3 linked regions of the Callithrix jacchus genome follow. The protein of the gene in region 2 purifies or fractionates together with the protein of the main gene of each other region. This does not show direct contact. Links are inferred from orthologs where the notes say so. Each region holds a gene or a part of one and is shown on either strand. Other genes may lie near its edges. The genes, in order: DUSP6, MAPK3 and DUSP9.

Region 1 (7,224 bases), on a different chromosome or scaffold from region 2:
TTTAACTAAGGGCGCACACCTAGATAGAAGCTGGATACATAATTCAAACGACGGTCGTCTCACTCCAGAAGCCCTTTACGCAGCATTTCTAGGACTGAGCGGTCAGAACGTCACTTTAATCAATATGCCAGGAAAGACTGGCATTCCCCTGGCGAAAGAGTTCAGAAGCATGGGTAAAACTAGTTTCGATGTGTCCTCCTGAATCTATAGTCATATTCAGGTAGCTGCACTTTTAAAACAGGCAAAGTGGAAACCCAGCTTCCCTCCTTTTCTCTTCTGTTGGAGGTCCTGGGCTGCACCTCCAACAGGTTTGTTCTTCCCAGTTCCGCTTCAGGACACCCTGCCTCTTCCCTCACTGTCCCCAGGTCCCAATGACTGAAACGTCTTGGTATGGGAACTTCTGTGACAGATCGGGGAGGACAGGGGGAGTCAACTCCAGCGCAGGCCTCCCCCGGCTGAAAACTAGAAGATATCCAGTGAAATACAGGAGTTTAGTTCCAAGGGCTGCCCAAAAAAGGTGCGGAGAGGAGAGCGGCAATCTCCACCTTCGTCGAACACGCTCCTCCCGGGGCGGCCTGCCTGCAGCAGAGCTCCAAAATTGGCAACCCGGGCCTCGCAGCCGCCTTTTTTTAGCCTACATTTCCCAAACCAGGGAAGAGGCGGCTGACTAAAAATGCAAATTGCAGCAGGGGCGTCAGCAGGCATGCCCGTGGGTGCGGGGCGTCGGGCGAGGGGAGACCCCGCGACCTTAGGCGCCCTCGCGGTGCTGGGTGGGCGCAAAGCGCTGCGAGGGACGCTACCCAAAGCCGCACCCCGCCGGGAGGCTGCCCCGCTTCCGCCTCCCAGGCAGCGGCGGGACAAAGCGCGGCCTCTTTTCCGCCGGGGTTTAGGGAGGGGATGCCGGATTAGGGCCCGCGCCTTCCGGCCGCAGCCCTCCCGCTCCAAGCCGGCCGCTCGCAGGTGGTTTTCCGCTCGGGAGGGTCAGGCCTCGGCACTTTTATATAACAATAGAGCTGTGCGCGCCGGGAACGCGCCTCCCCGCCGCCGCGGCCCCCACCCGGCCACGCCTCCATCCGGCTTCCAGTCCATCCGCCCCGCGGCGCCTGAGTCAAGCGCCGCGAGCTGGCCTGGCCAGCACCTCCGCAAGTTACCTGCTGGCTCTGTAGGGCGGTAGGGACGTTCCCCGCGACTCCTTGAGAGCCAAGGGCCGGGGGGGGGGGGTCCCGGCAGGCACTCGTCCTTGCTCCCCCCACCACCCGCCCCAGATCTCTATGGAACCCGGAGTTCCCCGCTCAGCCCCGCACCCGTCCACTGGATCGCGCAAAGCCTCGTGCCTGCCAAGTGGGGAGACGGGGGCAGCGGGGCGGTGGCAGGGAGCGCAGCGCGCAGGCGCGGCTGGTGCTCTAGGGAGTGCCAGGCGCTGGACAAAGGGAGGAGGCGGCGGCAGGAGGGGGCTGGGGAGGCCCCCTCTGGCATGCCTCCCTGCCAACTGTAACCAATAGCGGACCCCCCCCCCCCCCCGCTGAGCCCCCGGAGCCTACAGACCTTGCGGGAGGACTTCCCCACGCCTCGCCAATGGCGGGGACTACCGGCCCGGCCCTGCGTGTCCCAGCACACTTCATCCAGGCAGTCCCGCCAGACCGGCTCCTCCGTCAGAAGCCGAGCTCCTTGCCCAGAAATCATTAACCAACGCGACCCCCCAGCAGGCGGTGATGGTGGTGGGGTCGGGGGAAGAGATTTAGATCTCCAGAACAATGGCTCGTAACTCCCCACGCCGCTGGAGCGGAATACAGTAAAAGTACTGGACTGCCCTAAGAGTTTGTTTCTGTATTCCACATTGTTTTAAAGAAGATAAAATGCTACTTTAAGAAAAAAGGTTTTCTTCTGATTTTCTGGACAACCAAACATTTGTTTGCTTTAAAATGTTTCAACAGAATCCCGGCTTGTTTCGAAAGATGTTGGATTAGCATTTAACACCTCATCGGTCACTAAAGCCCCGTCAGTTCACCAGCCCCAACACAGTCTCGGCTAAAAGAACATCAGAGCAAACAGAGCTGGGGCTTTAAAGCTGGCAAACAAATACCACACACCGCCTAGAGAAGGGGGGTTGGGGCGAGGAGGATTAAAGCGAACTTGGGTCCAAATGAGTTAGAAGGGGATACAAAGAACAAAAAGTCAGCGCAAGTTTTCCTAAAGCTAGCTCCGGAACGCAAGCGTCGCGAACAAGGGCTTTTGTGCATGCTAATTGCGCCATTGGTGCGCAAAAGTTCCGACGCGAAGTGTGAACTCTCAACAGAAGGAAACATGAGACAACTGAAGTGCCCTGGCTTATGTGCCCTGCTCCTCCTCTGCTGCCGCCTCCCCTTCTTTCTCCTTCCTCCCGCCGAGCCCGCTGTTGCAGCTTGTTTGCACTGGGGCTTATCCGGAGCGGAAATTCCTTTCCGTTTTTGTGAATGACAAACTCATTAACAATTCATCAACACAACCTGTTCCAGCCGGCCCGTCCCCACGGCAACAGCCCCTTCCGCAGCTCGCTCATTGGCTGGCCCGGAGAATGTATCCATTGAGACGCTCGCTGTTTGTATCCATTGAGGAGCTGCCTCGCACTGGGGGTGTGCGAGGCTGAGTCCCAGGGATAGTGAGCAAATCGAGTCTTAAATAATCCGAGGAGAAAGACGCCCGGGTAGATTTGAGGTGCAGCCTTGGAGGGAGGGATTAGGAGCCGCTAGACATTTTTTTCCTTCCCTCTCAGTAACACGGAGTCCGAATTAATTGGATTTCATTCACTGGGGAGGAACAAAACTGTCTGGGCAGCTTCATTGAGAGAGATTCATTGACACCAAGAGCCAGCGGCTGCAGCCGGGTGCAGAGAGAACCTCTGGCTTCACTTCTGTCTCGTTTTCCCCAATCGCCAGCCTCGGCTTGGGTGAGGCGAGGCGGACTTAAACCCCGCTCTGAGAGCGGCAGCTTCGCGCGCGGTGCGCTCGGCCTATGCCTGCCCCGAGGGGCGTCTGGTAGGCACCTCGCCCTCTCCCGCAGCTCGACCCCCATGATAGATACGCTCAGACCCGTGCCCTTCGCGTCGGAAATGGCGATCAGCAAGACGGTGGCGTGGCTCAACGAGCAGCTGGAGCTGGGCAACGAGCGGCTGCTGCTGATGGACTGCCGGCCGCAGGAGCTGTACGAGTCGTCGCACATCGAGTCGGCCATCAACGTGGCCATCCCGGGCATCATGCTGCGGCGCCTGCAGAAGGGCAACCTGCCCGTGCGCGCGCTCTTTACGCGCGGCGAGGACCGGGACCGCTTCACCCGGCGCTGCGGCACCGACACAGTAGTGCTCTACGACGAGAGCAGCAGCGACTGGAACGAGAATACGGGCGGCGAGTCGGTACTGGGGCTGCTGCTCAAGAAGCTCAAGGACGAGGGCTGCCGGGCGTTCTACCTGGAAGGTACGCGCCCGGGGAACTCAGCTTGCGGGACAGGGCGCAGGGCTGCGGGCCGGGCGCGTGGACTAAAAATGCCTCTGCCGCTGGCGCTTCAGAGCCGCGCAGCTTGCCCAGGGGCCGGCAGCGGCGAGGTAGGGGCCGCGACCCGCGCGTTCCGCACCGGAGAACCGGGCAGGGGCAGAATCCACCCGCTTCCGGCCGCGGTTACCGGCCGTTTCTTTCTAACGGGTTCTGAGCCCTTCTTACCCAGAACATCCTCTACCATCACCCTGTTTTCTATCGTTCGATTTTGAATTAAGATTTGCAGGACCGGAGAGGTTGTTGGGGGTGCAGATTGGCACATCCTAGTTTCTCAAAATATTCCCAAAAGTTGCCATTTTGTATATTTCCGGATTTAAACGAATAAGGGTTCCCTGGCGAGGCGGGCCCGTTCGTTCCATTCCCAAGGGTGCACATTTAAAGTGTGTTTCTCTTATTATGTATGTCGGGGGGGTTTGTAGGGTGCTTGTGGTGTTTCTTACGCCGGGGTGGTTCTTACAAGCTGTGAAAACTACTACGACTTCTCGGGTTACACGATTGCTTTTCTCGTTCTGGCAGGTGGCTTCAGTAAGTTCCAAGCCGAGTTCGCCCTGCATTGCGAGACCAATCTAGACGGTTCGTGTAGCAGCAGCTCGCCGCCGTTACCAGTGCTGGGGCTCGGGGGCCTGCGTATCAGCTCTGACTCTTCCTCGGACATTGAGTCTGACCTTGACCGAGACCCCAATAGTGCAACAGACTCGGATGGTAGCCCACTGTCCAACAGCCAGCCTTCCTTCCCAGTGGAGATCTTGCCCTTCCTCTACTTGGGCTGTGCCAAAGACTCCACCAACTTGGACGTGTTGGAGGAATTCGGCATCAAATACATCTTGAATGTCACCCCCAATTTGCCGAATCTCTTTGAAAACGCAGGAGAGTTTAAATACAAGCAAATCCCCATCTCGGATCACTGGAGCCAAAACCTGTCCCAGTTTTTCCCTGAGGCCATTTCTTTCATAGGTGAGACTAATTAGTAGTCGTTGCTCTGACATTTAAATGCAAAATTCCCAGCCATTCATAGAGTTTAAGCTGTTAATCGTTCTTTCTGCTTGCTAATTTGTCAGACTAAAGGTCTCTAATGTTTCTAGAGCGTCCTTAATTCTGTATTATTTTCTTGCTAAGGGAAGAAAACCTGCCTTTTGACATGGATGCAGATCACCTATTTGAAATGCTGTTTCTTGAATCTTTGAATTCAGTCATTTGACGGGGGTTGGGATCGTTCATAATTGGAAAACAGATTTTTCCCACAGTCTTTGGACTCAGGGGAAGGGTCAAATAGAAGTACTCACTATACACAGGAATTCCAGCATTGCTTTATAATTTAAAAACCTAGGAGTTATATTAGGACGTCAAGTTAGTTGTTGGAAAGCAGTATGAATGCTGAGTGTTACCCAGTTGAATGATACTGTGATACTGGTAACAGTGAGACAGTGGGTAACCTGAGCCCAGCAGGAAGAACTGTGGGCTGGAAGCCTGGGAGAAGTGAATCTCTAGGCATTGTAATGCACTTCCTATTACAAAGGAACTCATTTTCAAGCCATGTCGACATCCTGTTCCTCCTAATGGGCTGTCCCCTGTGACTTCCCTCTCTCTTTTAAAATGCCTGAATACCTCCATTGTTAACTGCACAACATTTGGAGAATAATTTAATAGACCCTTGCAGTCTGCTTGTCTGTATAAAAGGCATTCACGAACATATTGCAGGGTTTCTGGTATTCACATGCTGAGGCAAAGAATGCACCCATTAAGGAGTTTTTTGTTGGCAGAAACTTAATACAAAAGCTCTCTTTTTAGAAAACATCTGAAATATGTAATTGTGTCCACTGTACATGTTTTATTTCAGTGATACATTTTCCATTGCCCGTATGGCTCAACAGCCACACACAATTATTATTATTATTAAAGTTCAGTTTTTAGACTGATCATTCACAAAGTATATTTTCAATACACTGAGATCTTGCTTTTCTTTTTGTGTTCACAGATGAAGCCCGGGGCAAGAACTGTGGTGTCTTGGTACATTGCTTGGCTGGCATTAGCCGCTCAGTCACTGTGACTGTGGCTTACCTTATGCAGAAGCTCAATCTGTCGATGAATGATGCCTATGACATTGTCAAGATGAAGAAATCCAACATATCCCCTAACTTCAACTTCATGGGTCAGCTGCTGGACTTTGAGAGGACGCTGGGACTCAGTAGCCCCTGTGACAACCGGGTTCCAGCACAGCAGCTGTATTTTACCACCCCTTCCAACCAGAATGTCTACCAGGTGGACTCCCTGCAATCCACGTGAAAGACCCCACACCCCTCCTTGCTGGAATGTGTCTGGTCCTTCAGCAGTTTCTCTTGGCAGCATCAGCTGGGCTGCTTTCTTTGTGTGTGGCCCCAGGTATCAAAATGACACCAGCTGTCTGTACTAGACAAGGTTACCAAGTGTGGAATTGGTTAATACTAACAGAGAGATTTGCTCCATTCTCTTTGGAATAACAGGACAAGCTGTATAGATACAGGCAGTAGGTTTGCTCTGTACCCATGTGTACAGCCTACCCATGCAGGGACTGGGATTCGAGGACTTCCAGGTTTATAGGGTAGGACCAAATGGTAGGGTAGGAGCATGTGTTCTTTAGGGCCTTGTAAGGCCTTTCCTTTTGCATCTGGAACTGACTATATAATTGTCTTCAATGAAGACTAATTCAATTTTGCATATAGAGGAGCCAAAGAGAGATTTCAGCTCTGTATTTGTGGTATCAGTTTGGAAAATAAAAAATCTGATACTCAATTTGATTACTGTAAATATTTTATCTTAAATCACTTGATAGTGTTTGTTTGAATTATTTGTTTTTTCCTTTGATGGGCTTAAAAGAAATTATCCAAAGGGAGAAAGAGCAGTATGCCACTTCTTAAAAGAAGAAAGAAAGAAAATTGTGCTCTTTTCTAATCCAAAGGGTATATTTGCAGCATGCTTGACTTTACCAATTCTGATGACATCGTTATGGACACTATTATTGCTAAGACCTTGTTATGGTGAAATCTTTAGTCTTTTTCATGTGTCTTCCTCATGATTTTTTTCTCTTTATGTAGTTTGATTATGCCTTACCTTTGTAAATATTTTGGCTTGTGTTGTCTCAAAGGGGATAATCTTGGAAACACACCAAATCATGGGCTCACTTTTTTTTTTCTTAAACTTCAGCTGTGCTAAACAGTATATTACCTCTGTATAAAATTCTTCAGGGAGTGTCACCTCAAATGCAATACATGGGTTGGTTTCTTTCCTTTAGAAAAAATTTGTATAAAACTGGAAGTGTGTGTGTGAGCATGGGTACCCATTTGATAAGAGAAATGCATTTGATTGTGAAGAAGGGAGAGTTAAATTGCTCCATTATGTTCGTGGTGTAAAGTTTTGAGCTGGAATTTATTATAAGAATGTAAATCCTTAAATTATTAATAAATAACTATTTTGGCTATTAGATGTGTTTTGTTTTTAAAATATCTCATTAGTTATACCTACATGTGAAGTGACACATTTTAGAAATTTTTCATTCAGGGATTGACTTTGACTTGTAGGCATAGCAGGGCAAAGTTCTTAACTTTTAAAGCTTTTCCTGGAATGTTTTTCAGGGGCAGTTTATGAAATTCATCCTTTGTCACAAAAAAGGATGACATCCTAGAATGGACTGACTATCATGTATATGAACAATACCTTTTAT
Region 2 (7,224 bases):
GTTAAGGAAAACAGGCTCTGAAGGCAAGCCTGCACACCTCCAGCCAGGGCCCTTGGGGCTCAATAGAACTTCCAACCTGCACCGCCAGCTGGGCAAGCTGCCGTTGTCACCCAGCAGCAGGACTCAGCCTCTGTTGCATTGAAGCTGCTGAGCCTGAGCAAAAGGCTTCATTTCTGTGGCCTCAGTTTCTCTACTGGGAAAATGGGGATACTAATAAACTGTGGGAGGCAGGAGAACCTCACAGTTAAGAGCAGCAACTGGGGCTGAGCAGTGGCTCACGCCTCTAATCCCAGTACTTTGGGAGGCTGAGGCAGGAGGATTGCTTGAGGCCAGGAGTTTGAGACCAGCCTGGGCAACATGGCACAACCCCGTCTCTACTAAAAATTCCAAAATTAACCGGGCACAGTGGCATGTGCCTGTAATCCCAGCTACTCAGGAGGCTGAGGCATAAGAATGGCTTGAACTCGGGAGGTTGGGGTTGCAATGAGCCAAGATCTTGCCATTGCACTCCAGCTGGGATGACAGGGTGAGCCTCTGTCTCAAAAATAAATAAATTAATTTTAAAAAATAAAAAGGAGTTAACCCATGGATGTGTGAAATCCTCTCTCTACTACTCACTGGCTTTAAGATCTCAACTTGTCTGTGCCTCAACTTTCTCACCTAGTATGTCGGGGAAATAATGTTTTTTGTTTGTTTATTTGCTTTTTTCTTTTTTGTGGAGATGGACTCCTGCTATGTGCTCAGGCAGGTCTTGAACTCCTCGGTTCAAGAGTTCCTTCCGCCTCGGCCTCCCAAAGTGCTGGAAATTACAGGTGCAAGCATGAAATAATGGTTCTTTCGAGGGTGGCTGTAAAGACTAGATGAGGTGGCGCATGTAAAGCTGTCAGCCCAGCGCCTGGCAAGTTGTGAGTGCTAAAGAAACGTGAACTATTATTACTAATATCAAGGCCTGAGTCACAGGGACGCCGCGGGAGTTAAATGAGATAATGGATGAACACCATCTGGCATGCAATAGATGTTTGCTTAAAAATAAATGCCTGCCTTATGGGAATGGTTTGTGCAAGAAAAACGAGGAGACACTCCCAACAGCACACTCCCACTCAAAGAAGAGTGCTTGGCCATACCTCAGAAGATGGAGGAGTAAAATGTCTTTTTCCATTTGAAGCTAAAACAAAGACTGTGAGTAAATAAATAAATAAATCCACAAATGTCGTTTGGCTTGTGTCTGGAAAAATAAGTCAGGTCTGTCTTTTAGAATCTGCCTTGAGGCCAGGCGCTGTGGCTCACACCTGTAATCTAGTACTTTGGGAGGCCAAGGTGGGTTGGTGATCTGAGGTCAGGAGTTCGAGGCCAGCCTGCCGACATGGTGAAATCTCTACTAAAAATATAAAATTAGCCGGGTGTGGTGGTGCACACCTGTAGTCCCAGTTACTTGGAAGGCTGAGGCAGAATTACTTGAACCTGGGAAGTGGATGTTGCAGTGATTGGAGATCTAGCCACCGCACTCCAGCCTGGGCAACAGAGCGGGGGGGGGGGGGGGGGGGGGGGGAGGGGGGGTCTGCCTTGAAGAAGTCTTCAGAGAACATCTGGACCAGCCCTGCTGTTTTAGAGCTGGGGAGGCCCAGTGAGATGCAGTGACTTGCTTCAGATGACACAGCGAGCTGGGGCTGAACGCGGAGATTTCCTGTCCACAGTTTGTGGTGGGGGCTATAGACACCAGAGTACAAATCCCCTCTCTTGGGTGGAGTGCTGGGACCGAGAGTGATTGGGTGTGGCAGGGAAGAGGTGACAGGTGTCACAAGTTGCTAACAAAAGAGCCAGCCAGGAAGTGGACAGCAAACCAGGAAAGCAATATCAGGGGAGGAGACCAAGGCTAGGTTGTCTCCTCCCTGGGCAAAGTGCAAGTCCACAGGTGATTAGGGTGCTGCTTGGAGTGAGAAGTCCTAGAGGAAGGACAACTTCCCATCTGGGGGAGGGGAGGAGGAGACAGCAAGAGAAACACTTGATTTTAGGTTTTCTGGGTCTTAGCTTCCTCATTTTTTTTTTTTTTTTTGAGACAGGGTCATTCTCTGTCCCCCAGGCTGGAGTACAGTAGCACAATCACAGCCCACTGCAGCCTCTAACTCCTGAGCTCAAGCCATTCTCCTGCCTCAGCCTCCCAAGTAGCTGGGACTACAATTGTGCACCACCAAACCTGGTTAATTTTTAAATTTTCTGTAGAGATGGGGTCTCACTATGCTGCCCAGGCTGGTCTTGAACTCCTGGTCTCCAGCAATCTTCCAGTCTTGGCCTCCCAAAGTGTTGGGACTACAGACGTGAGCCATTGCTCTCCACCCCTCATCTTTGAAATGGAGCTGAAGGCCGGATGCAGTGGCTCATGCCTGTAATCCCAGCACTTTGGGAGGCCAAGGCGGGTGGATCACAAGGTCAAGAGATTGAGACCATCCTGGTCAACATGTTGAAACCCCGTCTCTACTAAAAATACAAAAATTAGCTGGGCATGGTGGTGCGCACCCGTAGTCCCAGCTACTCGGGAGGCTGAGGCAGGAGAATTGCTTGAACCCAGGAGGCAGAGGTTGCGGTGAGCTGAGATCGTGCCATTGCACTCCAACCTGGGTAACAAGAGTGAAACTCCGTCTCAAAAAAAAAAAAAAAAAAAAAATGGAGCTGAAAAACCCATCTCATAGGATAGCTGGAAGGTGTAATAGCAAAATAAATAAATAAAGCACTGGGCATATATAGTACCTGACCCACAATAGGCCCTCAAGAAAGGTAGTTTTTTTGTTTTTTTTGAGACAGAGTCTTGCTCTGTCACCCAGTCTGGGATGTAATGCCATGATCTTGGCTCACTGTCCACCTCCTGGGTTCAAGTGATTCTCCTACCCCTGCCTCCAGAGTAGCTGGCCCGGCTATATATATTTTTTTTTTCTGTATTTTTAGTAGAGATGGGGTTTTACAATGTTACCATGTTGGCCAGGCTGGTCTCCAACTCCTGACCTCAAGTAATCCACCTGCCTTGGCCTCCCAAAGTGCTGGAATTACAGGCGTGAGCCACTGCACCCGGCTGACAGCTTTCTTTCTCCCTGTCTCCCTTCCAGTCTGGGGAAAGAGAAAAGAGAGAAAAGAATCGTCCATTTGTTATCAAGAAGTGACTGTGGGCTGTGGCCGGGTCATGTCTCAGAACTGCAGATGTCAGAAGACAACACTCCCATAGAGACCATCCTGCCCAGCTCTCCCCCTGGGGCACAGAGCAGAGAACCGACTTGCTCAAGGCCATACTGCCCGGCTGCCACAGGCCTGGATTCATCAGAGGCCTCCAAGTCCTGTTACACTGTGGCCTCTCCTCTGCAGGAAAGTTTATTTTACTGGGTTTTTTTTGGAGGATGGTGGGGAAGATGGAAACAGAAAGCAAGTGATGGTTCCCCAGCCCAGCTCGGAGGCCATGAAGGCCAAGGTGAAGGATACACATCCCTCATGGCTTCCAGGGTGGACGCCCGAAGAATGTCTCGGATGCCGATGACATTCTCATGGCGAAAGCGCAGCAGGATCTGGATCTCCCGGAGCGTGCGCTGGCAGTAGGTCTGATGCTCGAAGGGGCTGATCTTCTTGATGGCCACTCGAGTCTTGCGCACGTGGTCATAGGCCGAGCTGAGGGGACCAGAGAGAGGCTGCTGCTGTGGCCTTACAAAGTGGGAGTCCAGGCCTGGTGGCCCCACCCAGGCCTTGGCAGGGAGGGGAGGGAGCAGGAGCTGGCTCTGGCCAATTCATAAACAATGCTGGTTCCTTCCTGCTGTGGAGGCCTGGGATCTCTAGAGAGAAAGCTGGGGACCAGCCAGGCGCCCCTGCGGTGACTTTACAAACAGAGGAAGAGACTGACCACTCACTGACTTCCCCTCTCCTCAATCCCCTTTCATTCTAGTGGCCCTGAACCCTTCACCCCACTTCCCAGGAAAGGCTCCTTAACCCAAGACAGGTCCAGGGGTGCAGATGCTGGGACCACACCATGGGGCAAACACAGTGGGAAAGCAGCAGCCAGGGAATGGACAGGGCAGGGGAGGGTCCCAGAGTGAGGGGCCCAGGCAGCCAGGCTGTCCCAGAGCACATGGAGGGGCGGGGGGCACTCACAGACCCCTCCCAAAACATGCAGGTGGCACTCCTGGCCCCTTCATCCCTCACTGAGCCCCTGGTGGTGGTGGGAAGGGAGGGCCAAAGCCCTGCCACACCCTGATCTCTGTTCTTCTCCCCCAGGCTTCCAAGCACTGCCTCACAGGGAATCCAAGACACCCTTTCCCCCAGAACGACCCTCCACTGCCCCTTCACTAAGGATGTCGCCTCCCCGAGAGTACTCATCCTCTGGGCCTTGCCCCGTGTCTCTAGGGTCCCGGCAGTCCCCCACATGCACTCAGATGCCCCTCCCGTCATTACGGAGTGCTGGACTCAAAGCTCCAAGCCCCCTCCTCTGAGGACGTAGCAGCGACCCCTCCCCCAGAAAGCATTCAGGGACCCCTCCCTGGGACGCTCCCGATCATCCCGAGTCCCCGGCCTCCTCGGGACGCTCCGCGTCTCCACGTCCTGGAAAGCGCTCGGCGCCTCCCCCTCCTCTCCCGCGAAGCCCCCTCCCCCGAGGGCGCCCCCTCCCCCGGAACGCCCCCTCACCTGACCATGCCGTAAGCGCCCTCGCCGATGTACTGCAGCTGCGTGTAGCGCGGGCCCACGTCGAACGGCTGCCCCTTCACCATTTCCACTTCCCCCGGGACCCCCGGGCCGACCCCCTCGGCTCTCCGGGGCTCCCCGCCCCCGCCCCCCTGAGCCGCCGCCGCCGCCGCCGCCGCCATCTCCACTCCTCCCCTCCCGCCGCCCTCCTCCCCTCAGCGGCCCCGCCCGAGGCCCCGCCCCTTCCCGCCCGCCTGTCACCCGCGGGGCCGCGCGCGCCAGGCCCCGCCCCCGCCCCGCCCCCGCGCGCCCCCGACCCCAGGCGGGCCCGGGGCTGTCACGTGAGCCGCCCTGCGCGCGCCTGCCCTTCCAGCCCTAGGTGCGCGGGCCTTGGATCCCTGCTGGTTCCGTGGCCTCCAGGCCACGGGAAGGCTCAGCAGCGCGGCCTCGGAGATCGTCTTCACCCTCTCCTCGATGATGAAGCGGCCAGCGCGTGACCTCCCAGAGCCAGCCAGCCAATGTGTGCGGGAGCCCACCAGAACCTGGGCCCGGGATCACCCTAGATCAAAAAAATGTTCGAATAAATGAATCAAATTTTACAGATCGGCAATCTGTGAGTTGGGTTAACTAACTTGGGTAAGGTCCCTAGTAATGACAGACGTGAGACTCAAAATGATGTCTTTTGACACAGAGGCTCTTTATAATTCCATGCCTCTCAAAATCCTATACTGTTTTTTTCTTTTAGAGACAGGGTCTCGCTCTGTCGTCCAGGCTGGAGTGTAGTGGTGCAATCATAGCTCACTGCAGCCTCGAGTGATTGGGGTCAAGCGATCCTTCAACCTCAGCCTCCCGAAGAGCCGGGACTACGAGTGGACAACACCATGCCCTGCTAATTAAAAAATTTTGGGGGGTTCCGGCACGGTAGCTCACGCCTATAATCCCAGCACTTTGAGAGGCCGAGTTGGGCGGATAACTTGAGGTCAGGAGTTTCAGACCGGCCTGGCCAACGTGGTGAAACCCGTGTCTACTAAACATACAAAAATTATTGGGGCCTGATGGTGGGCGCCTGTAATCCCAGCTACTCAGTAGGTGGAGGCAGGAGAATTGCTTGAACCCAGGAGGCAGAGGTTGCAGCAGTGAGCCAAGATCGCCCACTGCACTCCAGCCTGGGTGACAAAGCAAGGCGATTCCATCTCAAAAAAAAAGAAAAGAAAATATGTTTTTTTGGTGGGTAGAGACTGGGTCTTGCTATGTTGCCCAGGCTGGTCTGAAACTCTGACTTCAAGGAATCCTCCCACCTTGGCCTCCCAAAGCTCTGGGATCACACCTGTCCATCTCAGACTATTACAACTGAAGAAAGGGCCCTCCGAGACCATCCAGTCCACCCCCCTCTTTCACATCGAAGATGTGAGCTGCAAGCTTTACAAAAACACACAGCTCCCAGGCTTCAGTAAGTAATCATGTTGTGGGTTCTTTTGTTGTTTTTTTTTGTCCCTGAGAAGCTGGGAGTAGGTCCTTGATGCATTACAGATCAAGAGACAAAATGGAACAGTAATTATGATTCTGAAATCGCTTATAATTAGATCCACAGCCAGGCAGTCTCACTCAGATTAAGGAGACTGAGTTTCTGATTCCCAGTAGCCCATAGGTCAGTAAAGGTTCAAGAGGTGCTAATTAGATCAATGAGTTTTTTTAGTTATTCATTTGATAAACCATTGCATGGCCCTGTGTGCAAAGCTCTGAGCTAGGTACTGGGGCTGATAAAGGATTACTGGATAGTATGAATCTGTGCTTAAGAGTAAAAACACCCTGGAGCCTGATTGCCTGGACTAGAATCTCATCTTTCAAGTTCAAGTTGAATGAGGAATAAGAAAAAGAAGAAAAAATGAATCACGTCTTTGCCACTCACTTAACTTGTGTTACCCTTGGCAAATTACCTACTGTCTTCTAGTAGAGGCCTCCACTCTATTGAAGAGAGAAAATATGTAAATCAATTTAGATCCCAGTGCAGTGACTCACTTTCAGTGCTCTGTTTAGGAGGCCGAGGCAGGAGGATCACTTGAGCCCGGGGAATTGGAGTCTGCAGTGAGCTATGATTGCACCACTGCACTCCAGTCAGGGTGAGAGTGAGAAACCTGTCTCTACTTCTTTCTTTTTTCCTCCCTTTTAATAATACTGATACCTTGTCTTTAAAATAATAAATACACAGGCCAGGTGTGGTGGCTCACACTGGTAATCCGAGCACTTTGAGAGTCGGAGGCAGGAGGAGCCCTTGAGACCAGGAGTTTGAGACTACCCTGGGCAACATAGGAAGACTCCGTCTATGCAAAAAAAGACAAAAATTAGCTGTGCGTGGTGGTGCGTGCCTGTGGTCCTGGCTACTCCAGAGGTAGGAGACTCGCTTGAGCCCAGGAGGTCAAGGCTGCTGTGAGCTATGATTGCACCACAGCACATCATCCTGGGCAACAGAGGGAGACACTGTCTCTATAATAAAAAAAGTAAAGAAAAGCAAAAGTAGGTTGGGTGCGGTGGTTCATGCCTGTAATCCCAGCCCTTTAGGAGGCCGAGGCA
Region 3 (7,224 bases), on a different chromosome or scaffold from region 2:
CTAAACTGATCCTAAGAGTGACCCCTGGCTCTCCCCTTGGCTGATCAAAGTGGAGAGAAGTAGTTTCCAGCTAAATCTCTCTCACATCCATGCCTCTGTCCCCTGTCCCCTATCCTAGCCAAGGGCTCAAATTCATCAGCTCTAGGCCAGGTCACTGTCACGTCTTGCACAACAGTCTCCCAGCCTCCAGGCCTGCAACGACCTGCCCTCCACCCTGCCCTGCCCTGCCCAATGTCAGAATGCCATCCACTCAACCAAGGCTGGTGGCCTCCATCCTTTCCTCCATGGGCACAATAGGCAGGGCAGATCCATAGGCAGCCAGGGCACTGCACAAGGTCTCAGGTGTGGTGAGCGCTGAGATAGGAGACCAGGTCAGGGGGAGGTGTCCACAACACTGGTCTGGCTAAAAGTCCCTTTTCTGCTTAAAGCCCAACAAAAGCAAATAACAGTGTTGAAGGAAAATGTACAATAGATAAGATAAAGCTCATACCCAACCAAAAGGTTAAGACCCCTGTAGATAAATGGGCAAAGAACCTGAAAACACTGCACACTGCAGGAAGGAGGGAATGCGGCGGCCTTACAAATATTTGGGGGAAGGTTCAAGCTCAGGCGTGGAAGGAAAGCAACTCCAAAAAACAAGTAACAATGACCAACGAGGTAACACTTTCCACCTTCTGTGCTAGAAATGTCCTCATGTTTGAGAACACCCAGTGCCGGCAAAATTGCTGTGAAATCAACGTGCTGTTCAACGGTTGCAGGGTATATATTGGCATAGCCCTTTTGGAAATTAATCTGGCAATATCAAGAGCTAGGAAAAAATCCCAACCCTTTGACCACTTTGGGGAATCTAAGGAACTAAAGTAAAAGAAATCAAAGTTACACACATTCTCTAAGGAGTGGAAAATGGAAAGCGCACTGCGAGTCCCACAGTGGGAATCATTACGGAGTCAGAGGAGCAAATGTCTGAGGTCACGGTTACGGAAGAGGGCAGGTGATGGAAAGCTGGGAGTGGGGTGGGTGAGTGTGAGGGGTGCCGTTCGAGGCCTAGATCTTCCCCACGGCCAGATGGAGATCTCTAAGGGGCTTCCAGTTTCCCCTCCCCCTCCCTTCTGGGCAGTGGGCTGCTAGCCGGGACTCCCAGGACCCTGGCACTGGGCTGCTGTCTGGCCACACCTCCATGTCCCTGTCTCTAAGATGAGTCCTAATTCCTGCATCCAGGGGCTTTGGGCAGCTGGACTGTGCCCTTCCTTCTCCTCTTGCCCAGTGGGCATGGGCCCCAGCCCAGGCCTCCCTCCTATGCCCCCTGCCCAGGTTCTGAGATTCTGCTTCTTTCTGTAGGTCCCCTCGTCCAGGCAGCCCTCCCAACTCGGAGCCAGTAGTCTCCCTCCTTTGTGCTCCCCAGTGTGGTCACTTTCCCCCTTTCTCAGTGTGTTCCTGGGGCAGGAACTTTGTCTTCTCCCTCCTCCTATCTCAGCCTAGTCCCACAGTGGTGGAGGTGTACACTGGTGCCCAGCCCGGGGGCTGCCTCCAGGCCCACTGCAGCTGTGGGTGGGAGCTCAGAGTGGCCAGGGGTTGAAGGCACCACCGAGGTTCTGCCATGTGCCAGTCTGGTTGTGGCTAGTAGGGGTGGCACAGGGCTGTGAGCAGCCGGGAGCTGGACAGCGGTGTTCCCCGCTCCTGTGCCTGGGGGCTCAGTCTGGCTGGAGAGGGAGCTCCTGAGGTGCTTAGGCCACTCTGGAGAGGGCTCCCTGGAGGTGAGAGGAGCTGGGCTAGGATGAGGATGAAGAGAGGCAGCCTCCGAAATGGTGAAGGGAGGGGAAGCCCGGGATCCAAGAGTCCCTGGCTCCCGACCGGGCGAGGGGCTCCCTGAACCTAACTGCGGAGCCGTGCTGGCAAGCCTTCCCATCCGGAGAAAGAATTTAGGAGGGGGCCATAAGGGGCTCATGAGGAGGCCATGAGGGGCTCAATCTCCAAAGTCAGAGCTGAGAGTTCAGGGCCCACAGCGCCCGCAGCGCCAGCAACAGGACAAACGGGAACCTGTTGCGGCCTCCGCACTGCAGGGCTGAGCGCAGCCAACCTCCTAACCCCCTCTAACGGCGACCCTCGCCTGACTGCCCCCACTCAGGCCCCCAGCAGCGCCAGCTCTGGGCGCCGCCGAGCCCCGCAGCCACTCCCGGGTGGGCCGTGCAGGGAGAGGCCGCGTCGCGCGCCCGGGCCTCTCCTGGCCCCCTCCGGCGGGCGGAGCCAGGCCGCGCGCTCGCTGCTCGTCGCAGGGTGGGCGCTGCGCCCGCCTACCCCGCCCCCGCCCCTGCCGGGCGCCCCGGGCCTCCGCCCGGCCGGGCCAGCGCCCCCTGGAGGCCGCGAGGAAGCCGCCGTCTGCAGGCCTCGCGCGTGCCGAGTGCGCCCTCTGGTCCCGGGGGCCTCCCGAGAGCGGCGCCGCGCCGCCTTCCCACCCCGAAATGCACCATTCCCGCCGGGCCGAGTGGCAGGATTTCGGCTGTCGCGGCCGGGTCACATGGCCAAGAGCACAAGTCCCAGAGACAGCGTGTCTGCCAAATCCAGTGTCTTTTCCATCAAATCCACTTTCTGCTGGGGATGGTCGGTCTCCTCGCGGGACTGGGAGTTCCTCCAAGGCAGGAACGTGTGTGTGCCCGGCCCCAAGCTGGCCCCAGCCCCCAGTGCAGGGCCTGGCACGCGCCCGGCGCTCGCGGAAGAAATGCTCGTTAACAAAGAAGGCATGAATGAATGAAACCAATTGTTGCCTGAGGGAGCTGCTCCTGCTTTTCCTTCTGCCGATTACACACTCCTCCCCCACCCCGACACGCATAAGCACACGTGCACATACAGCTCTCCCCGTAACACACACACAGGCCGGCACCCAGACAGCGCGCGCGGACTCCAGCCCGCATGGAACCCACCTACTACGGGCTGGTCGGGCAGCTGGCGCCCCTTTGGTCCCACCTGGGACGCCTCCATTTCAGCGGCGGGCGCTCTCTGCCTCCACCCCGCCCCTCCCCCCGGCCCCTTGCCTCCGCATCTAAGTACCCTACCTTGCACCCCAAGTGCCTTCTTTATCTCTTAGGGAAGAGGCCAAGTCAGTCGCTGGGGAGTCTCAAGGTCTGTTTAGGGAGGCACCTGGGGAGCCGAAGGCTGATGAGACGCTGCCGAAGGAGAGCCAGAGGTGCCTGGCAGGGATGCCACCAAATGCTGCAGCCTCTAGAGCCCGCGTGCCAGGTGTTGGGAGGGAGGGACTCAGAGATGTGCTGGGGGTGTCGAAGGCTATTTGTGATGGGGGCGGGGTAGGGTGCTGGAGAGCGTGAATCCAGCAGGTGTGCGCGCGTGCTGGGGCGGATGAGAGTGCGCGCTGGAGATGCTGGAGGTGTGTGCCTGGGACGTGGGGAGTATCGGCCGCTGGGATGTGGATTTGTGATGGGACCTCGCTCCCGGGTGGGTGGACTGCAGTGTCTCTGGGCTGGGCACCTGGGTGGGGTGTCTGTCATGGGATATGGGGAGTTCAAGGTGGCAAGAGCATGGTAGGGGGAGCTATGTTAGTGCAGGTATCGCAGAGATGTGTTGGAAGCGTGCGTGTGCGCCTGGGTGTGTACTGGGGCGTGGCAGGGTCTCGGTGGGTTGGCATGAGTTGGGGACAGTGGTGAGTAGTGGTACAGGGGATGCTAGTGTGTGCATTACAGGGACCCGGCTCTGTGATGCGTGGTTTGTGTGCGCGCGAGTGTGCAGCCGGTCTAAGTGGCAGTGGACACGGGAGGTGCACGGGAGGGGTGCACGGGTGTGCGGCGGCAGCACCCAATGGGTCTCCTAGGGGCGCGTGCGCCGGCTTCGTGGGGAGTGCCTTGTCAGGACTTTGGGGGTGTGGGGTGGAGGAGGGGGTGCACGTAGGGGGGGTCAGCCAGGCCGGGTGGGGTGGGGTGGGGGTCCCCAGGACGTCGTGTGCTCCACTCACCTCTGCTCCGCTCGGTTCTCTGAGCCTGTTCCCTGCGTCGCGGCCGGGAAGTTTCTGAAGCTCGGTCGGCGGGAAGCGCCACTGCTGCCGCCGAACGCCACCGGAACCCCGGGCGGCGGCCTTGCCAGGAGCTGAGGGGCAGCCGCCGGCGCTGCGGAGGGAAACTCCAAATCCCGCCCCCGCCGCCGCCGCCGCCGCCACCGCCTCCTCCGCCTCCGCCTCCTCCGCCTCCGCCACCGCCTCCTCCCCTCCCATCGCCGTCTTCTCCGCCCCCTGCCCAGGAGGGGCAATGTAGCTGGCGGCGCGCAGGGAGGGAGCGGGGAGGGGCCGCGGCCTTCCCGGCGTCTCCCTCCACCTCCCACGCCCCCGCCCGCCTTCCTCCCACCTGCAAGCTTCTGCCCTCTCCGCCCGTCCTGCACGACGCGCCCTGCGCTTCCCGGTCCCCAATGGTGCTACTGAGTGGGGACTTCGGAGCTTGGAGCGCCGGAGTGGGGTTGGGGGCCCTGAACTAGGCTGGGCCTGGGCTAGGGGGACGGTTGCTCCGCAGAATCTGCACTGGCACCCCAGCCAAGGGGCCCCCTGCAGTGTCTCCTCTTATTCTCATATGTCAGATTCTGGCTACTAGTAATAGCATTTGAGCCTCAGTGCCTGGAAGGGGTGGAGCCAGGATGTTGAGGGAGGGGCTGGGAGCAAGTAGGGAGCGGGTGTTGTCACCAGGTCCCGTTAGCTTTCTCCTTTGTACCACAGGTCACACCCATTGGCACCAAGGACCTCATTTTATCCTTACAGCAGTTCTGGAAGTCTGAGGAGATTGTCCCCATGTTACAGCCCGGGAAACTGAGGCCGTGGCTCCCTGGTGGTGGCACGATAGTGTAGTGGCAAAGTAGGATGGGGCTCGGGCTGGCTGAGTTCAGAAGCCTAGAGCCTGAACGAGCGTGAGTGCGGAAGATTGCATGGGGAGGGGAGGGGAGGCAGCCGTCCGAGGTGTGCACCTGGCCTTTCTGGGGCTCCCAGGCCAGCGGTGCATGAGCCTGGCCTCCTGCCTGCAGTGGAGGAGAGGTTGAGATCCAGCAGGAGGATATGAGCGCAGAATAAGGTGCGGCAGGGAGGGCTGGGGTGCCAGCAGCTCCACTGGCTGCCTGGCTGTGTCTGCGGCAGCGCTGAATTCCCCTGAGTCATTACCCCTGGAAGAGACAAGGGCAGCAGCTTTGCCTCTGGAGCCCAGTCCCTGCCCCATCTCTGGGTCTCCATTTCCTGGTCTGTACTTTTGGGGAGAGAGGTGGGATCATGTGATTTCCAAGGGCCCTCCTATCTGTGCAGTTTCAAGCCATGGTGAGTGAGCTGGGAGGGTCCTGCTGTTGCCAGCCAGGCCTGTCCGCCCTGCTCTGGGCCCGACTGCAGCAGAGTCCCTCCTGGAAGGAGGCCACTGGCCCTGCAACCCTGTCCCTGCTCTGGACTCTGGGCCTCGTGGGGCTGCACTGGGGCTCTCCCCTACAGCCTTGGGGGGCCAGGCTGCCCAGGACCTGCCACGAAGGCGAGCATATGCAGCCACCGCTGGTGCCTGTGCTGCTCGATGTGCTGAAGTTATGGGACCTTTCCTAAGAAATCCATATACCACAGAAGCTGTGCCCTAAAAACAGGGGGCTGGCTTTCACATTCCCCCCTCCACCGAGGGCGCCTCCTGTTTGGAGAGGACGTAGGACAGCTGTGCCCGTGGCCTGGGTGCTCAGCTGATCACCAAAGGCTTGGTGGGTGAGCTGACTCAGAGGAGTTTCTAGTAAGCTTGGGGTTGCCATGCTTTAGTGACTCAGGGCTGAGAGGCTGGGGAGAAACATTTGGATTGAATAATCCGCCCTCGTCTCTGCACAGCTCCCACTCCAGCCCTCCCAGTGTCTCTGCTCTCCACGCAACGAGACCATCCGTTGCTGGAGAAGGAGCATACAAAGACCAGGCCTGCTCCGAGTTGCCTCAGGAAATAGCGGTCCCCTCTTCATCCCCAGGGCTGGAGAATAAAATGCAGAACACTCCCAAAGAGGAGTTGAGTGAGTGAAAGTTTGCTTCGCAGAACCGAGGGCACAGCTGGGCCTCTGACTCCAAAGCAGCTGGGTCCATCTGTTGCTGATGGGAGTGACGGGGCGCCCCAGCCTTCTCCCTTTCCTCTGCGCCCCTCACCCTCCATTCCACCTGAACACCAAAGCCACTGCCCTCCTTCTTGTTCCTTCCTTGGGGATGGCCATTGGGAAGGGGCCATCTTGTTTCCTGTGAGACCCCACGCCCTCCTGAACCCCAGAGGTGCTCTCCAGAGACCCTGAAAGCAGCCCCAGGAACTGCCAGCCCCGGGCAAGGTGGAGGGGCCAGGGAGCGGCGCTTTGCTTGGGGTAGAGACGTTGTTAGCCTGGCAGGGCCTTGGGTGGCTGGCTCGTGACACGGAGGCCTTTGGCTGCAGGCACCTGGACCTGTTAAGGGACATTTTGTTCAGGTCCCGAATCTGAGCCACTGTCCAGGTGAATGAGGTTTTGGGGGAGAGACTGTGGGAAAGGTGATGGCTGTCAAAGCCGAAGTCCCCAGGCTACCCTGCTGTGCCGGGTCCTCCCTGCCTGTCATCCTGCATGGAACCTGGGTCACATCTACGGGCCCCGGCGCCAGGGTGCACACACCTTTATTTCTGGGTCCTACAGAGGTTCCTTTTGCAGCTGAAGCCATCTGCTCACATGACAACCCCCTCACTGTCCCTTCAACTCCTCCCTCTGCACCCCTCCCAGATCTGAAGTGCTTCACCCAGCATCTTCTGGACGCATCCCGCTACCAGCTGCCATGCCTTCAGAAGCACCCAACCTGTCCACAGCAGCTCCCAATGGAGCCATGCCCAGACATTGAAACAAAATGGCCTATAGTGGCTCTGAAATCTCATTTGCAGAGTAGGTCAAAGGCAGGCCAGCCAGGAAGCCAAGCGCCCAGGGGTGTGAGCCGCAGGGAGAGATGGGAGATAGGCGAGAGGGAAAGGAGGGGGCAGAGCAGAGAGCACCAGCCTGTGCAGTGATTGATTTCTGGGGGCCAGGACTTGGCGAGCCATTAACACCGCCATTCCGGGAGGGCTCAGGTTCAGGTTCAATACAATCCCCCTCCGGCCAGGTTCCTTCTCCTTGTCTTGTCTTCCCAAGCAGCAGCGCACATGTGCCTGGATATACATTCCAGATGATATGATCCTTTTACCGGGAGAACCAGCCACCCGCACCCCTGGGCTGGACAGGGGAAGGGAGGTG

Evidence for each region.
Region 1: the proteins of MAPK3 (region 2) and DUSP6 purify together in Homo sapiens (affinity purification with mass spectrometry; 7 studies listed by BioGRID and IntAct, with this or other methods). This does not show direct contact. The link is inferred for Callithrix jacchus from reciprocal best matches to the Homo sapiens genes MAPK3 and DUSP6.
Region 3: the proteins of MAPK3 (region 2) and DUSP9 purify together in Homo sapiens (affinity purification with mass spectrometry; 4 studies listed by BioGRID and IntAct, with this or other methods). This does not show direct contact. The link is inferred for Callithrix jacchus from reciprocal best matches to the Homo sapiens genes MAPK3 and DUSP9.

The regions. Positions count from the first base shown.
Region 1 is NC_133510.1:91,813,777-91,821,000, forward strand, and holds DUSP6 (dual specificity protein phosphatase 6), read left to right. Parts: upstream 1-2,583; 5' UTR 2,584-3,049; coding exon 3,050-3,449; intron 3,450-4,043; coding exon 4,044-4,481; intron 4,482-5,502; coding exon 5,503-5,810; 3' UTR 5,811-6,984; downstream 6,985-7,224. UniProt on the Homo sapiens protein: Dual specificity protein phosphatase, which mediates dephosphorylation and inactivation of MAP kinases. Has a specificity for the ERK family. Plays an important role in alleviating chronic postoperative pain.
Region 2 is NC_133513.1:29,404,545-29,411,768, reverse strand, and holds the start of MAPK3 (mitogen-activated protein kinase 3), read right to left. Parts: upstream 4,871-7,224; 5' UTR 4,836-4,870; coding exon 4,657-4,835; intron 3,649-4,656; coding exon 3,466-3,648; intron 1-3,465.
Region 3 is NC_133524.1:149,565,684-149,572,907, reverse strand, and holds the start of DUSP9 (dual specificity protein phosphatase 9), read right to left. Parts: upstream 4,137-7,224; 5' UTR 3,962-4,136; intron 3,255-3,961; exon of another isoform or gene 3,051-3,254; intron 1-3,050. UniProt on the Homo sapiens protein: Inactivates MAP kinases. Has a specificity for the ERK family.